7 linked regions of the Rattus norvegicus genome follow. The protein of the gene in region 1 interacts with the protein of each later gene in a pairwise test. Links are inferred from orthologs where the notes say so. Each region holds a gene or a part of one and is shown in the gene's direction. Other genes may lie near its edges. The genes, in order: Tead4, Golga2, Ssx2ip, Wwtr1, Ccdc172, Trim27 and Lzts2.

Evidence for each region.
Region 2: the proteins of Tead4 (region 1) and Golga2 interact in binary tests that used the Homo sapiens proteins (3 or more experiments, as listed by UniProt). The two-hybrid records come from large-scale screens. The link is inferred for Rattus norvegicus from reciprocal best matches to the Homo sapiens genes TEAD4 and GOLGA2.
Region 3: the proteins of Tead4 (region 1) and Ssx2ip interact in a two-hybrid assay, tested with the Homo sapiens proteins (2 studies listed by BioGRID). The two-hybrid records come from large-scale screens. The link is inferred for Rattus norvegicus from reciprocal best matches to the Homo sapiens genes TEAD4 and SSX2IP.
Region 4: the proteins of Tead4 (region 1) and Wwtr1 interact in binary tests that used the Homo sapiens proteins (3 or more experiments, as listed by UniProt). The two-hybrid records come from large-scale screens. The link is inferred for Rattus norvegicus from reciprocal best matches to the Homo sapiens genes TEAD4 and WWTR1.
Region 5: the proteins of Tead4 (region 1) and Ccdc172 interact in binary tests that used the Homo sapiens proteins (3 or more experiments, as listed by UniProt). The two-hybrid records come from large-scale screens. The link is inferred for Rattus norvegicus from reciprocal best matches to the Homo sapiens genes TEAD4 and CCDC172.
Region 6: the proteins of Tead4 (region 1) and Trim27 interact in binary tests that used the Homo sapiens proteins (3 or more experiments, as listed by UniProt). The two-hybrid records come from large-scale screens. The link is inferred for Rattus norvegicus from reciprocal best matches to the Homo sapiens genes TEAD4 and TRIM27.
Region 7: the proteins of Tead4 (region 1) and Lzts2 interact in binary tests that used the Homo sapiens proteins (3 or more experiments, as listed by UniProt). The two-hybrid records come from large-scale screens. The link is inferred for Rattus norvegicus from reciprocal best matches to the Homo sapiens genes TEAD4 and LZTS2.

Annotation. Positions count from the first base shown.
Region 1 is NC_086022.1:163,255,543-163,259,544, reverse strand, and holds the start of Tead4 (TEA domain transcription factor 4), read left to right. Parts: upstream 1-1,202; 5' UTR 1,203-1,711; intron 1,712-4,002. UniProt on the Homo sapiens protein: Transcription factor which plays a key role in the Hippo signaling pathway, a pathway involved in organ size control and tumor suppression by restricting proliferation and promoting apoptosis.
Region 2 is NC_086021.1:35,980,493-35,984,582, forward strand, and holds the start of Golga2 (golgin subfamily A member 2), read left to right. Parts: upstream 1-1,290; 5' UTR 1,291-1,338; coding exon 1,339-1,422; exon of another isoform or gene 1,423-1,516; intron 1,517-4,090. UniProt on the Homo sapiens protein: Peripheral membrane component of the cis-Golgi stack that acts as a membrane skeleton that maintains the structure of the Golgi apparatus, and as a vesicle thether that facilitates vesicle fusion to the Golgi membrane.
Region 3 is NC_086020.1:237,978,964-237,982,463, forward strand, and holds part of Ssx2ip (afadin- and alpha-actinin-binding protein), read left to right. Parts: intron 1-2,843; coding exon 2,844-2,994; intron 2,995-3,500. UniProt on the Homo sapiens protein: Belongs to an adhesion system, which plays a role in the organization of homotypic, interneuronal and heterotypic cell-cell adherens junctions (AJs).
Region 4 is NC_086020.1:143,843,942-143,847,441, reverse strand, and holds part of Wwtr1 (WW domain-containing transcription regulator protein 1), read left to right. Parts: intron 1-1,815; coding exon 1,816-1,952; intron 1,953-3,500. UniProt on the Homo sapiens protein: Transcriptional coactivator which acts as a downstream regulatory target in the Hippo signaling pathway that plays a pivotal role in organ size control and tumor suppression by restricting proliferation and promoting apoptosis.
Region 5 is NC_086019.1:267,613,920-267,618,163, forward strand, and holds the start of Ccdc172 (coiled-coil domain-containing protein 172), read left to right. Parts: upstream 1-1,444; 5' UTR 1,445-1,494; intron 1,495-1,767; 5' UTR 1,768-1,813; coding exon 1,814-1,892; intron 1,893-2,119; coding exon 2,120-2,205; intron 2,206-4,244.
Region 6 is NC_086035.1:48,243,349-48,247,471, reverse strand, and holds the start of Trim27 (zinc finger protein RFP), read left to right. Parts: upstream 1-1,414; coding exon 1,415-1,834; intron 1,835-2,366; exon of another isoform or gene 2,367-2,505; intron 2,506-2,571; exon of another isoform or gene 2,572-2,709; intron 2,710-2,917; coding exon 2,918-3,013; intron 3,014-4,123. Other genes in the region: uncharacterized protein LOC134482717, read right to left, coding at 447-483, 1,088-1,416. UniProt on the Homo sapiens protein: E3 ubiquitin-protein ligase that mediates ubiquitination of various substrates and thereby plays a role in diffent processes including proliferation, innate immunity, apoptosis, immune response or autophagy.
Region 7 is NC_086019.1:253,830,739-253,834,898, forward strand, and holds the start of Lzts2 (leucine zipper putative tumor suppressor 2), read left to right. Parts: upstream 1-1,360; 5' UTR 1,361-1,402; coding exon 1,403-1,810; intron 1,811-3,358; coding exon 3,359-4,021; intron 4,022-4,160. UniProt on the Homo sapiens protein: Negative regulator of katanin-mediated microtubule severing and release from the centrosome. Required for central spindle formation and the completion of cytokinesis.

The DNA of each region.
Region 1 (4,002 bases):
CCTAGCACACACAGGGCTGGGAGTAGACATCAAACTGGTTAAAGTCGCCCCTTTGCCTTGAATTGCATTGGTTTTTGTTCTTGAATGTGGATTTGCATTAACAATTACTGTCTTGCTTCAACCGTGAACTTCTTGAAGGCAGGGGCTTCTGCACTTAGCTTGGCAGCGGAGTCAAGGAAGGGCTGCTGGATTAAGTGGTGGGACAGTTTGTACTCTACACTCACAGATACGCTGCCCTGCGATGTCCTTTTCATGCGAATGGGATGTGCCCAAGCTTTGATATGACTCACTATTTAATAAGCATACCAGAATTTATACATCCAAACGAGGGCTGCAATCCTTCAAAGTCTTCCCTTTGTAAGACGGGATTCTCAGTCCCATGATGCTGGCATTTCCGCAGACTCTTTAGATCCCCTCTCTTAGGTACAACCCTGGCATTTATAACACTTACTTTTCAACGTCTCCCAGGCTATCCTTCCCTCATTTATTACCTCCATCTCCATCTTGAGTTGTTCGTGCTGGGTAAACGCTAAGATAGATCTGGAGAGTTGCCGCCTTCCAGAGTTTGTTTCACCAGATCAGACTGGGAGAGCCACGGCAATAAAAATTTAATGATAGTGCTTCAGAGATTGTTTGATTTGGGGGGAATAGCAAAGGCTTTTCTTTGATTTTAAGTTTCCCAAAGTGAAGAGGTGAGTGCCGGAGCGAGGTAGTAACTAATTGCTTTAAGCCAAATGGTTCTAAGACTCCTAGCCCGAGCCCACGTGTTTCTTCTAAATTGATCTGACGTACTTCTTTGAAACTCAGACTTCTAACTTCATGGCCAAGCTGTCCCGGACCCTGGGTCATCAGCAGCTAAGTTCCAGCTCTCTGTGAACCACTGCTGGGACCCACTCTTTATTATTGTCCCAGCATCCGGTGGACCTATTCACAGGATAAAGATTCATGGAGTTACAACAGAGTCCATGACGGGTCTCCCCTTTCTTCCCTGCTTTCTGAGAAGTGACAGTTCTGCAGATCCCAAGGGACAAGGAAAGAACTGAAAGGCTGATGTTGGAGAGGGCTGGAGAGGGAAAGCGGTGGCGGATCTGGGAGCAGAGCCGGGAGTTCCTGCTTCCTGCTCCCGGAGCGAGTGTCCTCCGTAGCAGCCTCGGGGAAGGGAACAGCCCTTCCTGCTCCGGTCCGCGTACTCCAGGAGCACAGCGAGGCGCGCCCCACCCCGGCGGAGGGGACGGTTTTTAGCAGGAGGTGGTGGAGGGATTCAATGCCACTCGGGGATGTGGGAAGCTGGAGGTGAGCGGGAAATCCGTAGATCACAGTCAAGGCGTGTGGGCACGAGTGGCCAGAGGCGCCGAGGGGTCCGCGGGGTTCTCGGGTGTCTCCGTCGTGCCCCGTCCCGTGGTCGCCCGCGGTCCCCCGGGCTCCGCCCAGCCGCGGAGCCCAGCCTCTCTCAGGCCGGGTCTCCTCCCTAAGGTGCGGGTGGCAGCGCCACTCCCTCCGCTCCCTCCCCAGCCGCGCGCGTCTCATTCCAGCGCCCATTCCGCGCATTCCTACCGGGCTCCTCTGCAAACTCCGGCCCCGGGGGTGGGGACCGCCTCAGCTACACGCTCGGGCCCCGAAGCCGTCGCCGCGGCTGGAAGACTTGGCCCCCCGCGTGGACTTGGTGCAGCCGGCCGAGCGCTCCCACCCCGCCTCCTGAACCCTGGGACCGGTAAGGCTGCTGAGTTCGGGCGACATCCGCGTCCTGCATGGTCTCGGGCAGCACTAGGGGACCAGTGGGGCACGTGGGGGCGGCGGAGTCCAGAGACTGGACAGAGCAAGGTCGCCTGGCAGAAGTTTTAGAAGTTGGAGACTGATGAGCCTCAGTCAGGCCCTTTTCTACTTTTCAGCCTGGAGAAGGGAGCACAGAAGGGAGGTGTGTTGCTTGGACCTTCTGCAGAGGTCCTCAGGGTTTGAGACGCCGTGGGCCCTATGGGTGAGAAGTGATGGACCATTGCTCCCAAACTCCAAGGCACTCTACTCTAGCAGGCAGCCCAGGGGCGCGCCGCGGTGCACACACGTGTCAGGGGGCTCCAGGCACACCCACATCCATCCCACTCAGTGAGTTCAAGCGAGGTATTACTTACCTGCGCCAGCATCCTTAAGTTTTGGGTGTACCTGAGGAAGAGATATCTGCGCGCTGTGACTCACCTTGCTTTCAGGAGGTGTATTTGTTTGTGCTAAACAATGCGACAGTGAGTGCATTGCTACTTGAAGAGGGTGCTGTCTGAAACCCTAAGTGTCCGGGTGGGTGTGTGATGCCTCCTCTCCAACACCCCTCGTCGCTCTGAGGATGTTGGTTCTGGCTCTGACTTCTTGCAGAACCGGAGCAGGGGACAATGTCTCCAAGTTCTTTGTGTTCAGGGAGAATTTGACAGTAGTAGTTGGAAGTGTCCCCTCCCGGCCCTCCCGCCCCCCACTCCTCACCCCAGCTCTGCTGGGTTGAGCTTTGCTGGCAGGAAGCTGCCTACACCTGCCCCCCTTCCAGGCAGCTGTCTTTCTGAGGGAGTGTGGATCCTGTTCTGGCGGAATCCTTTAGGGAACTGCTGGTAGGCTAAGCAAAGCTGAGATCTTTGCCCCCAGGGGCTAGGATGGGTTGTTGGTAACGTTTATGGGGGTGGACCCTCTAAAAGGAAAGGAGCTTGTTAGGTTGTTTTCTTTTGAGACAGAAGTCTCTTGTAGTCTAGGCTGGCCTGGTCCTACTACCCCAGCAGGAGGTGGCTTTCATTCTCCTGCCTCAAAAAAAAAAAAAAAAAAAATTACAGACTGGAGTCCGTAGGCTTAGCTGACCACATGGGTTGTTGGATAGTGTTTGTTGGGCGGTTGATAGAGTTTCAAAGTTGCCTTCAAGGACAGGGGTGTTAGTGTTCTCTCTGTAGGAACCTTGAAGCAATGAGGAGAAGAAAATCTCTCATTCCTGAATAGCCAGGGTCTTGCTCTGAAACCCAAGCTGGGTTCAAACTGGATATCCTCTGCCTCAGCTTCCCCCTCATTCTTCACAGTTAGCTAGATGACCTTGTTTCTGTGGGGAAACTTGATAGCTCACTGTAGGAAAGCTTTAGTGACAGGAAGGTGAGGGCTGCCTCCGACTTGGTAGCTGAGTCCAGGATCTTGACAGGACGGTGGTGTGAGAGTCACAGACTTGGCATCAGGGTTCTCCCTCATTAACACAACACAAAAGTGATGGCTGTGGTTTCTCGGAAGGAAGGAACAGAGAACCATGTCAGGAGTGAGGGGGAGGGGCTCTTGTGTTTATCTTTCCTTCTCTCCTGCTGATGTAGATAGTCAGCTGGGACATACCTCATATTCCATACTGCTCAGGCCGTGTCCACAAGGGCAGCTCTCATGGGGTAGGGAACACACAGGTGTGGGGTCAGACAGACCTGGACATGAATCTTGATACTCACTACCTTTAAGGCTCTTGGGCTCCGTTTCCTGATGAGTAACATTGCGGGGTGGGAATGAGGGGTGAGTAACTAAAGCCAGTGCAGAAAGCTTGCTCTGAAAATTCAGTGTCTCTAAAGCGTCTGTTAGCACATCCCAGGGCCCTTGGAAATGGTGTATCCTATGTTTTCCTAAGCTTGCTTTGGCAACCCCCTCCCCCTTCCCCTTCATTCCAGGGCCCTTGGAAATGGTGTATCCTATGTTTTCCTAAGCTTGCTTTGGCAACCCCCTCCCTCTTCCCCTTTTCATGTTGAGGATTGGACCTGGAGTCTTGTAACATGTGAGACTAGAGGATTTTGTGTGATTATTCTCTGGGCACCCTTTGGGCAACCTCACCACGTATCATATTTATTTTGCCAACATGAATTGGGCATTTTCTGTGGGTCCCGTGCCATGGGGAGGCTTCCACCAGATAACATAATTCTCTAGCTCCCATATTCTCATTTCTACTTTTGCCTGCTCTCAGGACATTTGCTGAGCACTGTAGGATCCTCAGTCAAAGTCCAGGCCCAGGGTGGG
Region 2 (4,090 bases), on another chromosome or scaffold:
GTTGGTGGTCTTTCTCCTCCCATCTTTGGTTTTAACAACTGTCTCAAAGGGGATAGGGTTATAAAGAACAAAAGGAGTTACTAAAAAGGAGTGAATCATGATTTCATCAAAAAGAGTACTTTAAAAATCCATCTTTGAGGGATGAGAAATGAACTGAGTTTTGGGGGTGCCCCCCCAAAAAAAGAGTAGCTTAGGGAGTGGACAGCCTAAAGGCAGATCCCTTTACTGAGAAGCCATGCAGGTCTGGTGGCAGGCTGGGTCAGGGGACAAAACTGCGGGCAGGAGCGGTCGGAGAAGCGTAGGCATCGGGCAGCTAGGAATGGGAGGGTAGGACCTCACATCTGAGAGAGGAAAAGGAGTGGAATTAGGAAAGAACTAGGCTTGGCGGCGGAAGGCTCAGGAAGAGGGAGGCAGGAGCGGTCGGAGAAGCGTAGGCATCGGGCAGCTAGGAATGGGAGGGTAGGACCTCACATCTGAGAGAGGAAAAGGAGTGGAATTAGGAAAGAAGTAGGCTTGGCAGCGGAAGGCTCAGGAAGAGGGAGGCGATGGGTGGGGATGCAGAGGGAGGGGGTGGGGCTGATATACTCACCGGCGATCGGTAGCCCCCATGGTAAATTCGGCTGAATTCTGACTCACCCCTGGGGAGGAACCCGAGGAAAGGGCTGATGAGAATGGGGTTACCAAAGGGGTGCGGGAGCCGCAGCGGGAAAGGGTTGGGCCCGGACCCAGACTCCGGGGCATTACCCGAGATATCGGGATGGGGGATGGGGCTTTGAGGTCAGGGTGCGCAAGGTAGGGAGGAGAATGTGTGGAGAACTGGTTATGGAGAGGCCTGGTGAGGAGTCTGGGGGAAGGAGTGAAGAGTAGGGAAAGGGCTGTGAAATGAAGCGCGGCGCGCTCGTCACCCACCTCCTGAACCCTAAGGTCCGGGGCACCCGGAGCGGGGTGGGCTTAAACTCTGAAGGGTCCAGGATTGGGGTTAAACGGCTGCTTTTCAGGTAACCAGAAATCGACGATGGAGACCACCAACTGCCTCACGTCCGGCTGCGCACGCACCAAGCTAAAGCTGTCCCGCCCCTCCCTCCGATAGGTGGCTGTGAGGGGTCATGGCTGCGCGCGCAGCTTTCGTCGTTAACTCCACCCGTCGCTCCCGCCTCGCGACAGCGTGACCACGCCTCCCTGTCAGTCATCATTCTCATCAACCAATGGGCTTGGAGAAGGTAGGTCACGCCGGGTTTCCGAGCGTCCTAGTGAAGCTCTGCACCCGCCTTCTCTGGCTCTTGTTGAGGAGTCGTAGCTGCCGGAAGCAGTTTCGCGGTGGCTGCCGGGATCGTGGTGATGTGGCCCCCCCGCTTCCCCCCTCCCCGCCCCGGGATGTCGGAAGAAACCAGGCAGAGCAAATTGGCTGCGGCCAAGAAAAAGGTAAAGCGCTCCGGGTCGCGGCCCCTTGACCCCACCCGAGCTCCTCCAACAGCAGGACTATGAATAGAGTCCGAGCCTTTCCCGAGACACACAGGTAGAGAACCCTTCAGCTCCCTGGGTTCCCCCCAGCGAAGTCTTCTCAGCCAGCCCCGCCCCCTCAGCAACCCAGCCCCCGCCCTCTCAGTCGCCCCTAGGTGACTTTGGTCAGTGACACAGGGTCTCAGCCCTTGACTCGGGACGCTCCAGTCCAGACCTCTCTGGGCACCTGCCTCCAAGGACCTGGGTCCTGGCCCTGTAGGCGACTCGGGCGTTGGTAGTATGGAGTGGAATGTAGTTACGTCACAGTCCCCCCCCCCCGAAACTGTCATTACTACTCCGAGTCGGATTTGGATTGCCCCACCTGCTCACCTGATGTTGATGCCCCCTTTCCTGTTTCTCTGGTGGAGAACTTAGTTCCACCTGGAAGGGAGCCCGAGTTTGGAATCTAGTGCGGAGGCGCTTTAGGTACCCACAGTCCCTTAACTTAGCATTAATGTGAGCACACAACACAGTTCAGTGTTCCTTGCTGACATGGAAGAATGGGTTTGGTTTGCATTTAGGTTATTTTTCAGTTTTCTGCTCTCTAGAGAGACTGTAATCTCTCTGGAGCAAAATGCATGTATAGTGTTGATCAGTTTCTTGGGGAACTGAACTTAACAGCTTGAAATTCAGCCAAATTGTCATTTCAAAACTGATGAGAGCCACAGGATGCGTGTGAGGCATCTCATGGGAAGCATCACTTTCCCATGTTTCTTCTGAGAGAAAAAACTGTAAAGGTTGGGCATGGCATTTTCTTAGATTTGTAAAGACTTCTCTCTGAGATGACGCTTAGGCCCTTTCTGGTCCCATGTTCACTAAAGCTTTGCCTTCGTGGCTTCTGCCCTTCTGTCACATTGTAAAGTTTAGGAAGTAAACTTTAGGAAGCACGTTTAGGAAGTACTGCTGTGTGTCTTTAATATGTGTTGATAAAACGGCCCCAGTGGGGTTAGGAGTGCACTAAGTTGTTAGGTGTTTATCAGGACTCAGCTCAGTTGGCAAGAGTGCTTGCCTACCATGTATGAGGCTCTGGCTTGGATCCTGGCATGGCATTAACTGGGCAGAGCAATACATGCCTATATTTCCCTGACTCTGGAAGTAGAGGCAGAAGGATCAGGACTTCAAGGTTATTTTTTACTATATGTGGAATTTGATACCAGCTTGGTGTATGTAATATTTAATACTGGGTCTGGAGAGAAGGTTCAGCAGGTAAAAGCACTTGTTGCTCTTGCAGAGGACCTGGGCATAGCTCCCTTCACCTAGTATTGCTAACAACTGTCTCTAACTCCAGTTCTAGAGGTTGCATATTATGCCCTCTTCTGGCCAATTAGGTTACTGCATATGTACATGATGTACAGCCATATATGTAGGCAAAACAAACAACTACCCTCATACACATACAGTCTTTTTAAAATTAAACTTAATTTTGTGTTTGTTTTTGAGACAAGGTCTATGTATTCCTGGCTGGCCCTGAACTCAGATCTGCCTGCCTCTGCCTGCCTAGTACTGGGTAAAAGGTATAGGCCACTATGCCCAGCAATCCTGTTTTGTTTCGTTTTGTTTTGAAGGGAAGCTGTGTATATATGGCTTAGTAGTAGAATTCTGGCCTCTCATACATAAAACTCCAGGTTCAATCCCCAGCACAACAACAACAACAGCAACAACAACAACAACAACAGCAACAACAAAACAACAAAAACCATTAACATGAGGTTTTATTGACAGTACTTTGGCTTTTGACAGGGAGATGGCTCATTGGGTAAAGAAGTTCAACACAAGCAGGAGGACCTGAATTTCTAGATTCCATATAAAACCAGACATGGCAGCATGAATCTGTAAGCTCAGATGTTCTCTAGCTAACTATATGGTGAAGACAGAATTATAGAAACTGAGAGGCCATCTTGCCTGGTGTGTGTGCTAACGAGAGAGTTCTCTGAGAGTGGGAAAGAGGAAGCAACACTGAGGCTGTCCTCTGACATTGTTGTATGTACCATGACATGCCTATGTACTCTCTCTCACAGCATATACACATACATGTGTCCTCTGACATTCTTGTGTACACCATAACATACCCATGCACCCTGTCTCCTAGTATACGAACATCCATGTGCACGCACACACACACACACACACACACACACACACACACACACACGTATATGTTTTAAAGACAGGGTATTTGAGTATTATTTTCAGCACCCACATGATAGTTTACAATCTTATGTGATTCCAGTTCCAAGGGTTCTGACATCCTCTTCTGACCTCTCTGTGCACCAGGTATACATGAAGTGCACATAAGTGAATATGGGCAAACTCTTGTGCACATAAAACATACTCAAAAGTAAGTAAGAATAAAGACAGGGTCTTCCTTTATCCTGGGTTAACCTGGAACTTGCTGTGTAGACTGGGCTATCCTTATCTTATCACAGAGGTCCACCTGCCTCTGCTTTGAGGACTGAGACTAAAGGTGTGTGCCACCATGCCAGCAAGAGAAAATGTTCTGAAAAGAGGAGTGGGATTTAAGAACCAGGTTATAAGGGTTGGGGATTTAGCTCAGTGGTAGAGCGCTTGCCTAGCAAGCGCAAGGCCCTGG
Region 3 (3,500 bases), on another chromosome or scaffold:
GGAAATCGTTGCCTGCATTGTAATGTTTAAGATGTTATGGTATGGAGAACAGAGGACTTGTGGGAACCAGTTCTCTTCTACCACCCCACTGTGTGGGTCCCAGGTATCCGCTCGGGCTGTCCAGTTTGGTGGCAGGTCCCTTTACCTGCTGAGCCGTCTCACCAGACTGTTAAGGCTAACAGCAGGTGTGCCCTAAGATTTTAGTGCCATGATCTGAAAAACGGAGACCCAGCCGCCCGCAGCTGCGGCTTAGAGTGGCACAGCGCTTCATTGAAATTCCACATTTGATTTCCTAAGACAGCTCCATGGGGATGGAGCCACGCACAAAAGTGTTTTCTCATTGCCCATGCAGTGTACATTTGAAACAGTTCATGTTTAGGCTTCCCTGCCATTTATATAAGGTGTCTACACACGCATGCGAGGAGGACTTAGGGCGACAGACAGACAGAGAGGAACGAGATGCTACAAAATCCAAAAGGATCTTAAGTCCCAAGTGCTCGGGCCCTGAGTGTGTGCTGAGGGATGCCCAGTCAGTATTGTAAGAGGCACAGTGGGTCGCAGGCCTGAAAAACACTGATGGCCAGGGCCAGAGTGCGACACGTCTTTGTCGTCCTTCTCTGCTTAGACCCGACCAGTGCTGATGTGACCTCTGAGTGACCTAATGACCTGACTGAGGGGACCTAATAACCTTTCTTTTAATCTTCTCTCTTCTTTCTCCTGTGCTGGGAGCCAGCTTGGCCAGGAGTGGGTTGAGGCTGGATACAGCCAGCGTTGGGCATAGCTTTAAAGATGGCTGCTCTCTGGCCTCCTAGCTCTCTAACTGCCATAAATGCTTGTTGATAACTTATAAAAAAAAATCTTAAAAACGTTGTTTATTCTATGGTTAAAAACTGTTGGCTTCTTTTCTCTTTAACTCTGTTCTTTATTAAACGTAACTCTCTGTGCTTTACTGAACTCTTTAGGCTTAAATAAGCACTAGGGAAACTTAACTTTCTTACCGTTCTGTAACTCTCACTGTTCCATGATTCATTAAGTACTGAAAACCTAACTGTTAATATTATTTGTGCTTTAATAAACGCTAGTACCTGGCGATTAACACATGCTGTTTAGCCACAGGGAATTTAGAAAAAAGACCATTGCTAGTACCTTTTTCTGGTGAGTCTGCCAGAAGCCTCTCTGTCTAAGCTGGTTAACTCTTTATGAACAAGAGAGGAAGGAAAGGAAAAGAATTAAGATGCTTTACACAGGCGAATATGCACAGACACATACACGTTCATACACTCACACTCTGGCTGGGCCCTACTGTCACAATCAACTCCACAAGTATTCATGCATGTTTACATATATGTATATATACTACACACATGTAGACAGACAAGCAGACATAAACATTTGGCTGGCTGGTTGACTGGGTAGGTGGGTGGATGATGGATGGATGGATGGATGGATGGTGGGTGGGTGGGTGGATGGTGGATGGATGGATGGATGGATGGATGGATGATGGATGGATGGGGCGAAGCTCCCCAAGCCAAACCATTCAACAACTTTCTTTTCTCTGGCCTTTTAATGCCTTCTTAGACAAAAAGTTCTTTAGAACATTACTTCATAAATAAAATGTTACACAAAATGGGAGTTATAGAAGGATGTTGATATAAATTCAAAGCAACAGATTTTACATGGCCTTGCCTTATCATAGTGCACACTTGTGACCCTCTCCTTCGACCTAAATGTCTTTCCTTGATCACAAAATTGTCCCAAGTCTATTTCCCTTTTTAGTGTAACTGTGAAAGCTCGTTGGATTTTATTACTTACTGTTATGAAGAGTAGTAGCATTTCACTCTTGATTCTAACCTTATTACATCTTTCTAGCAAGATGTCATTCTGTTACATCTTTCTAAGACCGTCTCTAAAAGCTTTTTACCTAAAATTATTTGAATGAAATCAGGAATTCCATAAAATCATTACCTATTTGTCTATATAGCATCACTACCGGACAGTCCATCTCCGTAGGTCTGCAGAGATCTGCTCCAGAGAATGGTCAATACTTAGTTATATATTAATATATATTTAATAATATATTTATATACTTAATATTAAATATATTTGTATTTATATATAATTTAATAATAACAGGGATCTTTTCTCAAATGTAATCTCCTCAGTCTTACCTAAAGGAGTGAATCTGTCACAGCTTTATAGTCTATGACAGAACCATCTCAGGAAGGTCACTTGCTAGTTTCTGGCTTCTAGATGGCTTCTGGCACGCCTGAAAGGTATTGTTTTGAATTATTCAAGTATGTCTGCCTGCCATGGATGTTGATAACAAATAAGGGCTATTTCATGTAGATGTGTGCTTGGCCTGCACCGTTAGCACTGTTTCTCTGAGGTAACTTAGCAACATTGGACGTGTTCTTAGTACATCAGAGAAACGTGTCATCCCTGAGATGGCATGAGGAGAATGAGGATTAATGTCTGACTCTAGCTGATCTCTAGAGGTCGTTTAGTGAAGTCGCCTGACCTGCAGACAAGTTGACACTACCCAGAGCCGCGTCCGACCTCTGGGCTCTGTGGGCCTGGCCTGCTTCTCTAAGCCTGCACTTTGCCTTCGTGCACAGTTTGAGGGTTGAGATATGGCAGCATCCAGCACAGTGCTGCATAGACAGGAGCTGCCTCTGCCCAGACATCCGTTAGGCAGATTGGTAGAGATTTAACTGGATCAGGAGTGTCTGTGTCGCCAGTGTTAACTTGTTTGTATTAGGTATTAGCTAATAGGTCTTATCGGTCTGGTCCAGTGCCTGGGTGTAAGGCCACTGTGACGCTTGTGTGTGCCCTCTGTGCCGTAGGTCATCTCCGATGTAGAAGACGACGCTGGGGAGCTGAGCAGAGATGGTGTGTGGAGCCTTTCCTGTGACACTGTCAGGGAGCAGCTTACAAACAGCATCAGGAAGCAGTGGAGAATTCTGAAAAGCCATGTGGAAAAACTTGATAACCAAGGTAACTTCTGCGCCACGGTGTGCAGGGCGGGCCCCACAAACAGTGCTGTGGGCTCAGAGCGGCTGCTCACAGCCAGGGTCAGACTCTGCTGGTTTGTTCCGGGTTTCACACTGAGAGGAGTGCGCTTGGCTTCAGAACAAACCTCAGACAACAGTGTCCCTCAATGTCCAGTGCTGTCTGTGTTGCCGGCAAATCATGCGAATGTGGGTTTCGTAGAGGCCAGAGGCACTGGTTCCCTGGAGCTTGTACAGGGAGCTATAAACCACCTAACAGGGAGCTAGGGGGCCTCTCAGGAGCAGCGCACACTCTGAACCTCTCAGCCGTCTCTCCAGCACGAAAGTTCCTAGTTGATAAATGAAGTCCACTTATAATATATGGAAATGTTCTAACTGGTGAGTCTCATCCCAGTGCCATGAGCCGTGAAGGGCACAGTACAGTTCTCACTGTAGCTCCCACAGGGCTTTGCATGAAACGTGCTCATCGTCTCATGTCCATTTAATAGGAAG
Region 4 (3,500 bases), on another chromosome or scaffold:
GGGTTTATGGTACCAGAACAGAAAATATTTATTTAGGACAAGCCTACCTTGGAAATCTTGGATGTGTGTGTGTGTATGTGTATGAGAGACAGAGTCACAGACACATACACACAGATAGATCAATGAATAGATGAATAGATATGGGTATACATTTGTTGCAAGAGCGTGCCTTAGTCAGAGGATCACCACCTCAGGTGTTTTGAGCCGTGTCCTAGGGGTTCTCTACTTCCCATCTTGCCTCTGGGGCACGGAATTATAGGCATTTACCACAGTGCCCAGCTTTGCTTGGGCTCTGGAGCTTTGAGGGCCTCTTGTGTATGTGCTGAGCATTTTCAACCAATGAGCCAGCTAATCCTATCCTGGAAACAAGGTTTGGATGGGGCTGGCCTTAGCTTTAACTGCTTTGCTAAAGGGGATTTACTTAATTTTGACATTTAGTTCAGTGATGCCAACTATTTATTGTTTGTGACAGTTCCTTATTCTGAAGGCTTATGACAAAGAACCTGGGGCTATCTGAGTTACCTTATGTCCAAAGGCTGACTAAAGGATTTATCCAAGGCTTAAAAACAGAATTAGGCTGTCAAACTGAAGATTCTCCCTCTCCCTCTCCCTCTCCCTCTCCCTCTCCCTCTCCCTCTCCCTCTCCCTCTCCCTCTCCCTCTCCCTCTCCCCCTCCCCCCCCCCTCTGTATCTCTGTCTCTCAGTGATCAGGGTCCTGCATTCTCATCTCTTTAGGCTTGGTTTTTACAGCATGGCTTTTTATTATTGTTCTAGCTCACTGCTGACTCACTGTGCTTGACATTCAGTAATCAAAGTTAACCCTGACCCCACTTCTCCTTCCCCACGTCCGGCGCAGAGCTAGGCTTGCACTCAGCCCCTGGTTTATTGTTTATTTTATTTTAAAATTATATTCACTATGAAACTCTTAGAAGGGCATCCATGTCTTCGCTCTTGGCAATAGAAGAGTTCCCCACGGTAACACATCCCAGTCTTGGAAGAAGCATTTAACTGTGAGGAAAGAAAAAACAAAACAAAATGAAGAAATAAATAAATAAAGGAAGAAAGAAAGAAAGAAAGAGAGAGAAAAAGAAAGAAAGAAAGAAAGAAGGAAAGAAAGAAAGAAAGAAAGCCAAGCAAAGCCAAACTAAATACAACTTTACAGAAAGGAAATTTCTAGACCTAGTGTAAACCCAGAGGGTTTATGGTAGTTTTGGACACCAGAGATAATACCTTTGTTATTCAAACTTCATGTGTGGTTAACAGAAAGAGCAGTCACATTCCTTATGTGTCTTAGGCATTGTGTAGGGCTTGACGGGAAGAGGCAAACCTTACTGTCTTTGTGGACATGGAAAGATCTCTGATACCATTTATACATCGATGTAGGGGCACTGTGTGAATTTACTCACCCACCCACTCACCTCCATCCACCAAAGGTTGGGCGTGGTGAAGTGGGACAGGTCTGTAAAGCAGTAAGAATGGTCTGTGATGTGGTTTGGAAACAGCATGGGGCCAGCTTTTGGAGGGCAGCTCTCAGTGGTATCTGTGAGTGGGGAGTTGAGGGTGTGAGGAAGCAGCTGAGGTGTGATGTGTGTGTGTGTCTAAGCTCCTTGGGTTAAACCATCTGCAGTCCTTCTCGTGGCTCAACCACAATGCAAGGCCAAATGGGCTAAGGAAGTCCCTGGTAGAACCAAAAGCAATTCATCAGCCGCCTGTAAGCTGACCCAAGGGGAAGATGGTCACCGAGATACTGTTACTGGTGATGTCGATGGCAATTCTGACATTTACACAAGTAACTAATTGTTTTCCTTCCTTTAGTCACATAGAAAAAATCACCACATGGCAAGACCCTAGGAAGGTGATGAATCAGCCTCTGAATCATGTGAACCTCCACCCCACCATCACTTCCACATCGGTGCCACAGAGGTCCATGGCAGTGTCCCAGCCCAATCTTGGTAAGTCCCAACCTCTGACTCCGAGCTGAAGGAGTCTGAATGAAATTAAGGTTATGATTGAGAAGGGTTTGATTGTAGATATGTGAGGGAGGATTCAGCCAGAGGCTTCTGGAAGCGTCTGGACTGAACCTGGCCATGAGAGAGAGGAGAGAGAAGAGGAGAGGAACCTAGGACTTAGAGGCCAAGAGAGAAGCTGAGAGCCAAGAGTGGAGAACCTAGAGAGCACATGGCCCAAATGGCTGAGGTTATATCAGGCAGAGAAGCTGGGGGAAGGAAGGGAAAGGAAGCCCATCCCCTGGGCTGGAAAGGTTTGGGTGGGAAGGGGTGAGACGTGCTGGGAGGAGCCACAGGTACTAAGCAAGACCTGTTCTGAGTTTCTCTGAGACCTGACAGAGTCTACCCAATCGGTTTGGGGGTTCAGAAACTGCTCTGTTAGCCTTGTATCTCCTCATGCACTGGAGTGTTTCCTTCATTGAGTTACATCTTGATGTTTTTGCCGCATAATCTGTGACACTGATACTGGCTTCCACTGTGCTTCCGACATTCTCTGTATTTCCTTGAATTCTTTGAAGAATCTTGACCTCGTGTCTTCGTTCACACCAGGTGAGGCAAGGAGGGCCTATGCTGCCTTCCTGTGATTTGGTTCCTGCAGAGTACACATGTGAGCCTGCCAGCAGGCAAGGGGCTTGGATACCTTTCTTCTTAAAATCGCAACACCATGCTGTAGCAGTATTAGACAGACGAAGCAACATGATGAGTCACAGCTTGTTAGACAACACAGCCAGAGTTTGAGCCTCCTATATAATATTCAGGTGGCTTCTTCCCATTCAGTCTACATTTACAGTGTTCCAGTCTGGCTTTTAGAATTGGGGGTATTTTCTGCTCCTTGACTTCACTTTAAAAACACTAAGGTAAGGTCCACTGTAGATGAGCAGAGCCGAGTAAACATTCTGCAGAGTCAGGAGTCTTCCAGGAACTCTGTAATTACTGGTCTAAAGCTTGCACGCATGCATTATATCCTCAAGCAGCTGACCCTCCCAGCCAATAAAGGAAGACTGCCCTGGTCCTGCAACCAGTGTTTGTAACCCAAAACTTCCCACAAGTTCCAAATCTATGAAGCTTATGGGTAGCAAGTGTTGGCATAACAAAGAAATGCCAAATTAGATGTGAGCAGACTACTATCATTCAGTGTTCATTTGTGTGTACACGTGTGCCTGCGTGTGTGTGTGTGTGTGTGTGTGTGTGTGTGTGTGTGCGTGTGTGTGTATGTGTGCGCTCGAGCTTCTGGTTATCAGACTCGTCATTGTGCATGCCAAACGCTTGATCTGCTGCTGTAGGTATGTGCTCAGCTCCTGACTTAACTTTAAAATAGGTTGTATTTGGAAACGTCTTTCATGAGCACAGTATTTTAAATTCTAACACTTGGAGCTTTGGATATTTCTCAGGAGAAAGTGGGAAACATCCCTAAACCCACGTGAAAAGGCTAGTTCAGTGCTAGGCACAGGGAGCCAGGCAGATGCTGGGGTTGGCTGGCAAACCAGCACAGCT
Region 5 (4,244 bases), on another chromosome or scaffold:
TCCCATCCTTGAGTACATGGAAGAATTTGGTTATATCTGAGCTAGACACATGCACACATGTATCAGAGGACTATAAAGGTACAAAGTACATTCATGAAGAGCTTTAAATGAAATGGCAAAAGTCCACTATGTTTGTGTTATAGTAAGAAAATAACAGCTGAATCCATGACTCTCAACTCCCATTTTCTTGGTCTCCATTTACTTTCCTGTACAAAGTATGCCTCTTCCTGAGACACAGGATTCCAATCCTGAATTGGCTACATTCTAGCCATCGTGAGTGTGGACAAGTTACTTAGCCCTTCAAGTAACAAAAAACATAGTTCTAATAGGATAACTGGCTTGATTAAAAGAACGAATACACATCAAGATTTCAGATAGTGACTCAACTAAGTAGCTCGGTGACCTCATTTTTACTGGTATATTTTGAGTCTGTCAGTCTGTCACCTTAACTATATTAGAAAAGAAATGTCAAAATCATCTTAAATAGACGTAGTGTGTTCAGAAAGTGAGTGCTTAGCAAATAAATAATAAATATTGAACTACTAATTATAATCAAAACACAAGTAACAAAATAATGTTATCATTCCTTATTCATGGGACTTCAAGGTTTTAAATAAAAAGTGCTTGTCAACAAGGGATACCCAAAAGACAGTGGGAAAATTTTCATCAGTACTAGCTTCTGAATAGCTCTGAGTAATTAATTCTTTTTAACTTTATTTCAAATTTCAGTGTGTATTCTGATAGTTCAAACATTAAACTTCATGCAGACATGACCAGATGAAAATTAAGGTAGAAATATAGAATAGATTAAAGTTTTTAACTGAATATATTGTGGCATTAGTGGGCTATTAATTAAGCCTAGTGTATGTGACAAAATTTTCATTTTACTTAATTTTAAGCACATTCAAACTTTCACATTAAAAGTTACTTCTTAAAAGTCTAGCCAGTGTCAGTTTTACATTCAGAGTAAAGTCAGATGTTTATTACAATGTCAATATTTTGACCTACCAAAACTGAAAATATTTCTTAATTAAAAAAAAAATATCATGCAAAAGTCCCAAAGGTGCCTTTCACATTTAAGCCTTAATTAGCAACCACTTTGGTCTCTGACACACATTGTACAGATATCGAAGTGTTAATATTACCAAGGCTTGATTACAAAAGGCAGTGATTAATTTCGGGGCAGACAAAAAAGATATGCTTTGATTACGAAGGAATGATTACGGTGGAATGTCAGACATTGTACATTTGTAGGAGTCTTTGCTAGCCTCCGAGGATACGACTTTGCAAAAGTTTATATTTAGAATCACGGGTACTTTGCACTTTATAATACTTGGAGACTGGGAGTCCCACCTCTAGAAAGACCCCGAACCCGTGAGCGCAGGTCGCTGCAGACTGGTCCCACCAGGCTTCCGTAGATGACTTCTCGCGAGGCCGGTGGAGGCCCCTTTGGCTGGACACACCTGAGGGGGCGTCAGTTGCCAGCCTCTGCCTGTGGGCATCTTTTCCTGGGAAAGCGAGGGGGTTGGGAAGGGGAAGCATGTCCCCAGCCAAAGTTACTGTATCTGTCCCCCAGGCCTTTTCTGTGGGGGCTGCACTCAGCACAGAAGCACGCCGGGCTGTGGGCGAACATGGAGGAGGAATGGGCCCGGCTCTGGGCGAGCATGGAGGAACAAGCCGAGAGCTCCTGCCCTGGGGCTCTGCTGGGCAAGAGTGGGTGGTGCAGGCAGGGAACAGCCAGACAACCCTCTTCATTGTGCTTTCCAGGATCCTCAGACTCCCTTATAAAATATTAAGGGTGAGCTGGCCCGAGATGAGTCTGGAGTCGTTGTTTCAGCACATCATCTTCACTGAGCATCAGGCCGAGGAGAGCCGCAGAGTGATGCGGGAAGGTGAGCCTGCCCTTAGAGGGCATTTGGCTTTTGGAGCTGGGGTTTGCTCTTGGGGGGCATTTGGCTTTTGGACCTGGGTGTTTGCCCCACAGACTGGAGGGGAAGGGGGCACTGTAAGTGGAGTTTGCAACCTGGACAGAAGACAGATGAAAACTCACCTGCCAAGTGCTGCCGTGATGGAGGCTTCAGAAAGGCGGAGGCCAGTAAAGATTTTGTTGGTATTACAGTGAGGTCAGAAATTGCCAGATGTCGCGGGAAAATTAAGAAAGCAACAGAGGATCTGAATGAAGAAAAGATCAAGTTGGAATCCAAGGTATGGATGCATAGACCATGCTAAGTATCACTTGAGGAAGTGTCTGAACTTGGCTTTGGGGAGCAATTTACTAACTACTTATCCATCAACTAGGAAACTCAGCAGCTATATTCTGTCATTCAGCGTTGTCTAGCGTGTAAGGTTCTGAGTCCACGGTCTTTGGTTTTTAACAGGAAGTGGCCCGGAGGAATCCAGACTTAACGGATTCCCCGTCCATTTTGTGGGATGGTTAATGTTTATAAGGAAAAGTGTCATTGGAAGAATAATTGTTCAATAAGTAGTCAGGGCAGCATATAAATGTCAGACAGTAAGTAATTTAAGTGTGCTCCGTGGATGTAATGGGATCGTATGTGTCTTTCAAATGATGGCTTTCTGCTTTCCAACTCACTACCACAGTTTTGGACTTGTCTCATCCTAAGTTATCTTTTCTCTCATTTCTCTCTCCGGCCGCATTTGTAAAGTTCCGCCTTTTAAAAAGTAAGGACCGAGCGAGCCTGGCTGCTTCAAGGAAGTGGTTGAACTATGGATAGAATTTTGAGGGAGAAAAGAGACTTAGTAGGAGAGACCCTTTGTAGCAAAGAGGGGGCGGTTCTTCCCCAGGCACATTGAGAGAGGACTCTGGACAGCCAGCAGAGGGCGGCGGAGTAGAGTTGGGAGGGAAACGTTGCTAGATTTGACCAGAGAGGGGCAGTAAATGTGCTGTTAGGGGAGCTCCTTGTGCTCTGAGCACAGAGATGGGGATGGACAGTGAAGATGGTGAGAGCTAGAGGCCTAGGTCTGGAAGGAGGAATCAGATGTCCAATAGTAATGTCCCAACACCTGAAGGTGAACTAAGGCAGCAGTGCATAGAGGCAGTCTAGTGACTTGATCACTCAGACTTTTTTTTTTTGTTAATACATTTTTAATTTTATCACATATTAAATATAAATTTGTATGTAAAAGGGATGTAAGTTATAAATTTATTTATACATTATATTACTCTAATAACAGCGTATATTTGTGAGGAATTTTCATTTTCCTGTGGATAAAACAATTCTTGCCCGTTCACCACCTGGTGAACGGCCTCTCTTCTCTCTGCATCCTGTCATGCATCATAAAACCCTCCCTGGACAGCTCTGTAAAATCTAAGTGTCAACATGCGCTCCTGTTTGCAGCCCCTCTTTCTTTGGGAGGAATGTACTTAGTTTTGTTTTAAATTCACCTTTATTCTCTTGGTATCTGTTGCTGAGCCAACACTGTACACAGGTGCATTCACTACTGAGGGCCAGTAACAAGAAAAGAGCTCGGTCTTGATAATTCGACAAATAAAGGTTGGGCATGTTTATGGCTTCCATGTTATTTGTTATGCATTTTGTAATGCTCAGCTCCAGATTAATATATCCGTGCCAACATTTATCCTGACTGTGGTGAAAATATTACAAATCTTCAAAGTTCGTCGTCTAGGTCATTAACTGTAGCCATCCTTCTGTGTAGTCGAATACCAGCCTTTATCCCTCCTAACTCTGAGTACCCACCAACCAACCAACCTTTCCTCTCTGCCCCTTAACTAAAAGAAACTATCTTTTAAGACAGAATGTGGGGTGAGTATTCATTGAGCCCAGCTCTTACTTCTGGACTAAAAGAGAAAGTAGGCCAGCGGCAGTGGGGAATCCTGGTGGCATGGGCAAAGGTGTACAGCACCTTCATGTAGCTGTCTTTCCCTGGAAGAAGACTTAAGATGCTTTGAAAGTTGGGTTGGCAAATAGAAGTCAACAGAAGAAAAGGAACATACACACTCATACACATGCACACACTCACCACATACCATAACCACCACACACACCACATACATACACAAGCACACATCCCCCACACACATGCACACACATATGCCACACACCACAACACACACACTACATACATGCCATACCACACATATATCACACACAACACACTACATATACACCATACTACACACATATCATATGCACATGCACACACATACCATATACAAATATACACACACATACCACATACCACATACATACACATGCAGGCGT
Region 6 (4,123 bases), on another chromosome or scaffold:
CGCAGAATTCTCAATTGGGCAGAAACAAGCAAGTTTTAGGTTCTACTCAATGCCGTTCAATGCACTGGACACTTCATTTAAACTAATGGATAAAAATCTTTATGGCTCAAGCTGTGTTTTAAAAAGTTTAACTCACGGATGGGGAAAATTCCTGAAAGCAACAGTGTATGGGGGCTCAAGGAAGACACTGAAACAGACTGCTGGGAGTAAGAACTTTATTAGCGCCATAGGCAGATAGGCGGTGGACAATCAGAATTTCTGGCCGCGCCACAGGCGCCAGGGGGAGGTGGGGGCTGGGGAGTGTTCGAGAATGAAGCCCACGTGGCAGAATCAGGGTCGTTTCTTCTAGGGTCTCATAGGAACCCGCGGCCAGGCTCCTTCCTCAGCAGGTGGTAGGGAAGAAGTGTGTCATCAAGTAGCTCTTTGATATGTCTGGTCTGGCTACTTCACTTGAGGAAGTGAGAAACTGGGCACCAGAGGAGCCTGTTAAGAAGTTAGGGACTCACAAGCGGGCTCTCGGTGAGGCAGCTCCCTAGTAGCCGGAAGGCTAGAGAGAAGGGGAAGGACTTCAGTAGGTATCAGGGTCTGGTGAGCACTCTGGTCTGGATTCTATCAATCCCCCATTTCACGCGAGAAGAAAATGAGGCTCGGAACGATAAACAAACTTACTTTAGGGTGGAAGTAGAAGTGGGCTTCTCCATTTCTGCCACTGAGAAAAGTTGCTGATAATAAAACCTTTTTCTGGCGATTATTATCGCCTGGAGTTGGGTGTGTTTCAGAGTGCTTCACACACTGGGAGGGGCTTAGCTGGTCTCTCAGCCCAGTTTTCCGGCACTTATGCAAAGCCACCTTGCATTTAAAGGAGCCAAGGCCTAGGCACTAAGAAGACACCCGGCAAAGGACTACGGATCCACCAAAGCTTAGAGTATCCCGACCCCACTGCCAGGGACACCCTGCTCCCACTGCAAAGGGCAACCACCACCGACTCCCGGGCTGGGTACCGGGGCTCCAGGACTGCGCCGAGGAAACCCGCCTTCCCGCCCCGGAGGAGAGCGGCGCGGGAAGCCAGGCCCCGCCCCCGGCCCACCTCTTCCGCTCGGCCCTTAGGAGTCTGCGCGGCCCTGGGATCCCTTCCGACGCGGCCACGTTGCCCGGTGAGCCATCCTGCAGCGCCGGGTTCCCGACACCCCTCTGCTCGGCTCTCAGCCGGGCCCTGGGGCCCAGGCCTTCCCGCGCTGTCCGTGAGGTGCAGCTGTGCGGGGACGGGTCTGGCCGCCCCAGAGCTCCGCACGCGTCTAGGATCCCCGCGCCGGAGGCCCCACCCCGCTCCGGATCTGAGAAGCCGAGAGAGAGCGCCGGGCTCTGCCAGAGCTCGGCTCCGGGCTCATGCCCTGCGGCCCAGCCGGCTCGCGCCATGGCCTCAGGGAGCGTGGCCGAGTCCCTGCAGCAGGAGACCACCTGCCCCGTGTGTCTTCAATACTTTGTGGAACCCATGATGCTCGACTGCGGCCACAACATCTGTTGCGCGTGCCTGGCCCGCTGCTGGGGTGCCGCGGAGACTAACGTGTCGTGCCCGCAGTGCCGGGAGACCTTCCCGCAGCGCCACATGCGGCCCAACCGGCACCTGGCCAACGTGACCCAGCTGGTGAAGCAACTGCGCACCGAGCGGCCGTCGGGGCCGGACGGCGAGATGGGCGTGTGCGAGAAGCACCGCGAGCCTCTGAAGCTGTACTGCGAGCAGGACCAGATGCCCATCTGCGTGGTGTGCGACCGCTCGCGCGAGCACCGTGGCCACAGCGTGCTGCCGCTGGAGGAGGCTGTGGAAGGCTTCAAGGTAGGGCCGGGCCGGCGGACAAAGAGGAGAGCCGGGGGCTTCCTGGTTTGCCGCCGAGAAAATGGCGAGCCGGACGTGGGGCCCACCGCCGTCATTTCCTCCCTGTCGGCTGCGGAGCCTCCGCGCTCAGACTCGGAAGGAGAACCTGTAGCTGGCGAGGCCAGAGGCGTCCCCACCCCCACCCCTTCTCCGAGCGCCCCCTGTTAACTGCCTCAACGCGTGCCGCGGCTGGGACGGCGCGAGGAGACCCTCCCTTGACAAAGGAGATGCACATGGAGCCATGTCCACTTCCATAGGCCTTGAACACCTCGAACTTGCTCTGGCCCAGGATATCAAACCAGACAGCCCCTGTTGGCTGGCCGAATTCACATCGACCGATGCCTATCACTTAATCTAAGCCCCCAGCGCTTCCCTGTAACCTGTTTTAGAACCTAATGGAAATGAACAGAGCTCTTTACTGCTTGAGTAAATCATTTAGCCACTCTCAGACTCGGGAGATAACTTAATGAAGAGGAAGTGAACTCACAGGACCTGAAGAGGCCTTTGTTGAATAAACACTGGCACAGCTACACAGTAATTCGAAAATGTTACATATAAAGTAACTCTCAAGTGATAATGAGTCTGTTTTGAGGACTGCAGGGATATGTACCAACAGTTAGATTTGTTTAAATGTGAGTTCATCCAAATGTCAGTCACGTTTACAAAGCTGTATCATTTCACTCACTGGAAATAAAGTTGTAATTTAGTAATGCTTACCAGTTCTGTGCATGAGGAAAATAAATCATTTTTTTCTGTATTCGTCTGAGGAATAGCTTACCTTTTGAGCCTCTTTACCCAGATGTCTCATAACCTGTGCAGAATGCTTCTAGGAACTGGTAGGTGGCTTGAGTTTAACAAATTTCTAAAACAGCTGTGCTGGACCCTGTGCTTTAGGCTCTTCCCAGGAATGGCACTGTGGTCTGAGGACAGAGTCCAGCCCGGCCTTGGCATCTGTAGTTTGGGTTCCTGTGTCATAAGCAGAGTAGCTATTTTGATGCTGAGATCTGCAAAATTCTGAATTGGCTGACTGTTTACTTTCTTCAGGAGCAAATCCAGAATCGGCTGGACCACCTAAGAAGAGTGAAAGACTTGAAGAAGAGACGGAGGGCACAGGGGGAGCAGGCACGAGCTGAGCTCCTGGTAAGGGTCCAGGTCTCCAGCCTGCAGAGAGGCATTGCATCAGGATAGCCTTGGCAAGGGTGTAATGAAAACTTCTAAGCAGAGCATTTCCCCTTGGTGTCTGTCATTCCTATCATTTAGCTCCATCCTGTCTCTGAGTGAGTGCGATCTTGACACCTCTTGCTTGAAAACAGGATGAAGAAACTTCTCAGTGATCTTGTGTAGACTAAACTTAAACATACAATGTATCATATCAGCTTTGGGAGGATTTTCCAGAGAGAAATACTTGTGCCAGTGTGTCAGTCACACTGCTTTGGATATACTCAGTAAATTGATCTTTAGCCTTAATTTTGTCTAAGGTTATATTGTATACTTTATACCTTTGAAAGACTTATCCAGGTTAAAAGAGGTATAAGGGGCCCTTGGAACAGTTGAATTCAAGTCAGATTTTAGCAAACTTTCTGAAAGGGGCCAGTAATAAGTATTTTTAGCTTTGTTAATTTACACAAGCTAAATCACAACACCTCAGTCATTGCATCTCAAAAACAGCCATGTCTAATACATAAATGAGTGGGTTTGGCTGGATTCAAGTAAAATCTTTCTTGACTGCTCTAGAGCCATTTTGCTGACCATTTGTTTATTCAGAAATAGTTTCACTATGCAATCCAGGATGGTCTTGAACTCTCCATATTCCTGCCTTAGTCTCCCCAAGTGCTGGAATTATAGTATGCACTGCCACACTTGGTTTATAATCTTAGAACTCTAGGTTTTTTAGGATGTCTTAGGTAGCCCCAGTTGATCTTAAGTTCATTATATAGTTAAGAGTGATCCTGAAGTTCCAGTCTTGCCTTGTCTGCCTTCCAAGTGCTAGGAATGCAGGCATGGAGGAATTAGAAATGTAGGAAAGATAGACAAACCAATAGAAACATTGTATGGAGAGGAACCCATAAGCACCCCCTAAAAAATCAGGGCATGGATTACTTACTGAGACCAAGTAAACACATCCAGGAAACTTGTGCTTGCTCGATCATACCAGGTCATGTCCACAGAGTGCACACCTAACCCTGCCATTTCACTGTGATTGTTTCATGACTCCGCCTGCCAGGCAAGATGTTCATGGGCTCCAGTCAT
Region 7 (4,160 bases), on another chromosome or scaffold:
AGGCAGGTGGATCTCTGAGTTCAAGGCCAGCCTGGTCTACAGAGCAAGTTCCAGGGCAGCCAGGGCTACATGGAGAAACCCTGTCTTGGAAAAGCAAACAAACAAAACAAAAGAATTCACATGTACAGCTGAGCATAGGAGCACAAGGTTAGAATCCCAGCTGTCTGAGGCAAGAGGATCCCTGAGTTTGAGGCCCACTTGTGGTGCATGGCACAACCCTGTTTGTTTTTGTCATGTCCCCCTACATCTCGTGTGTGTGTGTGTGTGTGTGTGTGTGTGTGTGTGTGTGTGCACGAACTATCTGCCTAAACTCATACTGCATATTTTCATGTACGTTTTCACAGATTCTCTTCATTTTTATGGTCCTGTCTATGTACTCACACCACAAGTGTACACATACACACTCTCTCATGGAGGCCTCTGTCCACTTCTTGGCCCCTGAGCTACATGATGACTTCAGCAGATGCCTAAGTCTTGGTCATCGGCAGCCTTGGGACTGGGAGGGAGTTCCGGGTGCAGGCTTGCTATCCTTCCCAGGAAGGAGCAAGACTGAGGATGGGGGGTGGGGGTGGAGCCATCTTCCTTGAGATCCTACCAGATGTGGTAATGGGCTCCTGCTCAAATTCCATAGGAGTTATTCCGAAGATCAACTAAAGCAGGAAGGTTTATAAAGGTTGACAGTGGGACAGGGCCTGTGTAGGCTACCTTAGTCCCAAGTGATGGCAGAAGCTAAGAGTTGACATAGAAACAAGCACAGCCTATATCGACCTCTGGGAAGTAGGAGACCCCAGAGGGCATCTGTGGGTTCCTAAGACCTGTGAGGTTTCCTGTTTGGCCAGCTCCACCCTCAACGCCGCCTGAGTGTCTGGGAGAAACTGAGGCCTAGCAGTGGGAGGCTGGACAGTGCCTGGCTTTGGTTCTTTGTTCCCTAATTACCATCTGAGTTACTGATTGTATCCCTGACTTGTCCTCTGCCCAAATAGCCCAGGAATGAGGCCACCTGTCCCAAGAGAGTAGGGACATGTACTGGGAGCTAGTAGTTAGGGATCTCTGCCCAATCTGAGACTTCGCTATATAGGGGATACAGGTTTGGGCTTAACTGGGTCTCCTCTGTCAAGGAACCCTGCATAACCTCTTAGTTCTCCCATTCTTTCATCTCTGTTTGGTTGAGTTGTTCCTTATCCTTGTTCCAGACTAGAGTTGAGGCCCAGAGGGACTTGAGGTTCATTGCCAGTTCTTGGGAGGTGAAGCTGTTTCACTATATGGGGAATGTTCTATCTGGAAGAGGGGGTCAGGAGAAGGCTAATAGGGGGAGGATCCTCAAGGTGCAGGGACTCTGACGCCAATGCCTTGCTCGCAGGTTGCCCTGGAGGCCCCTGGCCAGGCCTGAACCTCTGCCACCATGGCCATTGTGCACACTCTGCCAGTGCCACTGGAGCCCGCACGTGAGACAGCCACTGCCCCACAAACTCCAGCAATGGGCAGCGTGAGCAGTCTTATCTCAGGCCGGCCCTGTCCTGGGGGACCTGCTCCTCAACGCCACCATGGTGTCCCTGGGCCTACCTTCTTCCGCCAGCAGGATGGGCTGCTCCGGGGTGGCTATGAGGCCCAGGAACCACTCTGCCCAGCTGTGCCACCCAGGAAGACTGTCCCAGGCAACAGCTTTACCTATGTCAATGAGGACTTCCGGACAGAGTCACCTCCCAGCCCAAGCAGTGATGTCGAAGATCCCCGAGAACATCAGGCACACAATGCCCACCTCCGTGGGCCCCCACCAAAGCTCATCCCTGTCTCTGGAAGGCTGGAGAAGGTAACGGGCAGCCCTCTTGGGAGGATCTGGGTGGGGTCGAGCTCCCCGCTGGGGAAGCTAGAATTTGGAGGCATGGACTCTGTCTTATCTCTCTTTCTGGCTCAGGGAGATAACCTGTCTGAGCCCCATTTTCTGTGTCTTTACAGTTAAGGTTAGAGGATAATCTTTATAGGCTCCTGTTAGAATTAATACTCCCAAATGAACAATATAGTAGTTCGTGTTTCTCTCTCTCTCTCTCTCTCTCTCTCTCTCTCTCTCTCTCTCTCTCTCTCTTTTGGTGTTTGAGACAGGGTTTTTCTCTGTAGCTTGACTGTCTTGGAACTCACTATGTAGACCAGGCTGGCCTTGAACTCACAGAGATCTGCTTGCTTCTGCCTCCCAAGTACTGGGATTAAAGGCATTTGTTACCACTTCCAGCCAAGTTGCTTTAGTTATTATAGAGGTGTGTGGTGTGGTATGGTGTGGTGTTGTGTGTGTGTGTGTGTGTGTGTGTGTGTGTGTGTGTGTGTGCGTGCGCGTGCGTGTGTGTGTTTGGGCGAAGCCTTTGTTTACCTTTATTCTGGGACTGACTCTATCCTGTTTTTAGTAGGAGAGGAGGATAATGTTTTGCTTGCGTGGCTATTATCATGATTAAAAATAAGCATTTTGAATTACTTAACATAAGTAGACGTTTAGAAACGGTGCCGCCGGGGTTGGGGATTTAGCTCAGTGGTAGAGCACTTGCCTAGCAAGCACAAGGCCCTGGGTTTGGTCCCCAGCTCCAAAAAGAAAGAGAGAGAGAGAGAGAGAGAGAGAAAGAAAGAAAGAAAGAAACGGTGGGAACCATTGTTTTTCATTTATAGGGGTGAGAACCCTGTATGGGAAAGCCAAGTAGTATGATGATTTTGTAAGATCAAGGTGGGCCAGAGAGATGGCTCAGAGGTTAAGAGCACTGACTGCTCTTCCAGAGGTCCTGAGTTCAAATCCTAGCAACCACATGGTAGCTCACAACCATCTGTAATGGGATCCGATGCCCTCTTCTGGTGTGTCTGAAGACAGTGACAGTGTACTCATACACGTTCCTAAGTTCAGATCCAGTACCCATATAAAAAGGTGGCCGTTGTGGCAAAGGACTGGAATCTCAGCACTTGTCAGGCAGAGACAGGCAGATCCCTGGGGCTTGCTAGCCAGTCAAGACTAGCTGGATTGATGAAATCCAGGTCCAGAGATTGTGTAAAAACTTAGGTGGGAAGTGATTGAGGAAAGCTCCTAACTTTGACACTTTGACATTTGATCTTCACACATAGGCACCACGTATCCATACTCATACATATGCACCCCCCTCTGTGTGTGTGTGTGTGTGTGTGTGTGTGTTTTGAAAGATCAAGTAAGCAAAGTGGGCTTGGTATCACACACCTGTAATCTTGAAGGGCTTGTGTTCAAGGGGATACATAGTGAGTGGACCCAGGCCAATAGAGTAAAACCCTGTCTCACAACAATACTAAATTTTTTAAAAAGAAAGGGGTCGGGCAGATCATCCTCACAGTGTCACATGCTACCTCATTTCAGAATATGGAGAAGATCCTGATCCGACCAACAGCCTTCAAGCCAGTGCTACCCAAACCTCGAGGGGCGCCATCCCTACCTGGCTTCCTTGGTCCTCGAGCTGCTGGGCTATCTGGGAGCCAGGGCAGCCTGACACAGCTGTTTGGGGGGCCAGCCTCTTCCTCCTCCTCTTCCTCTTCCTCCTCTGCTACTGACAAACCCTTGGCACTCAGCGGTTGGGCCAGTGGCTGCCCTTCAGGAACACTGTCAGACTCTGGCCGAAATTCTTTATCAAGCTTGCCCACCTACAGCACCGGAGGTGCCGAGCCAACTGCCAACTCCCCAGGTGGGCACCTGCCCTCCCACGGCCCTGGCCGAGGGCCACTGCCTGGTCCAGCCCGAGGGGTCCCTACTGGGCCCTCCCATTCAGACAGTGGCCGGTCCTCCTCCAGCAAAAGCACAGGTTCCTTGGGGGCTCGTGTAGCTGGGGGGCTCTTGGGCAGTGGGGCCCGGGCCTCCCCTGGCAGCAGTTCGGGTGGAGACCGCTCCCCACCCCCTCCACCACCTCCACCCCCTTCGGATGAGGCCTTGCTACACTGTGTCCTGGAAGGGAAGCTTCGAGACCGAGAGGCAGAGCTGCAGCAGCTGCGGGACAGTGTGGATGAGAGTGAGGCCGCCGTGTGTCAGGTGCGGCCAGTGGCAGTCCTGGGGCGGTGTGGCTGAATACCCAGGGCCTAGGGACAATTCCTGTTGGGGAGGAAGAGGGTAAAGACTCATGATGTGACACCCCCAAGGCTATGAGCATAACCTTCAAAGCAGTGAGGAG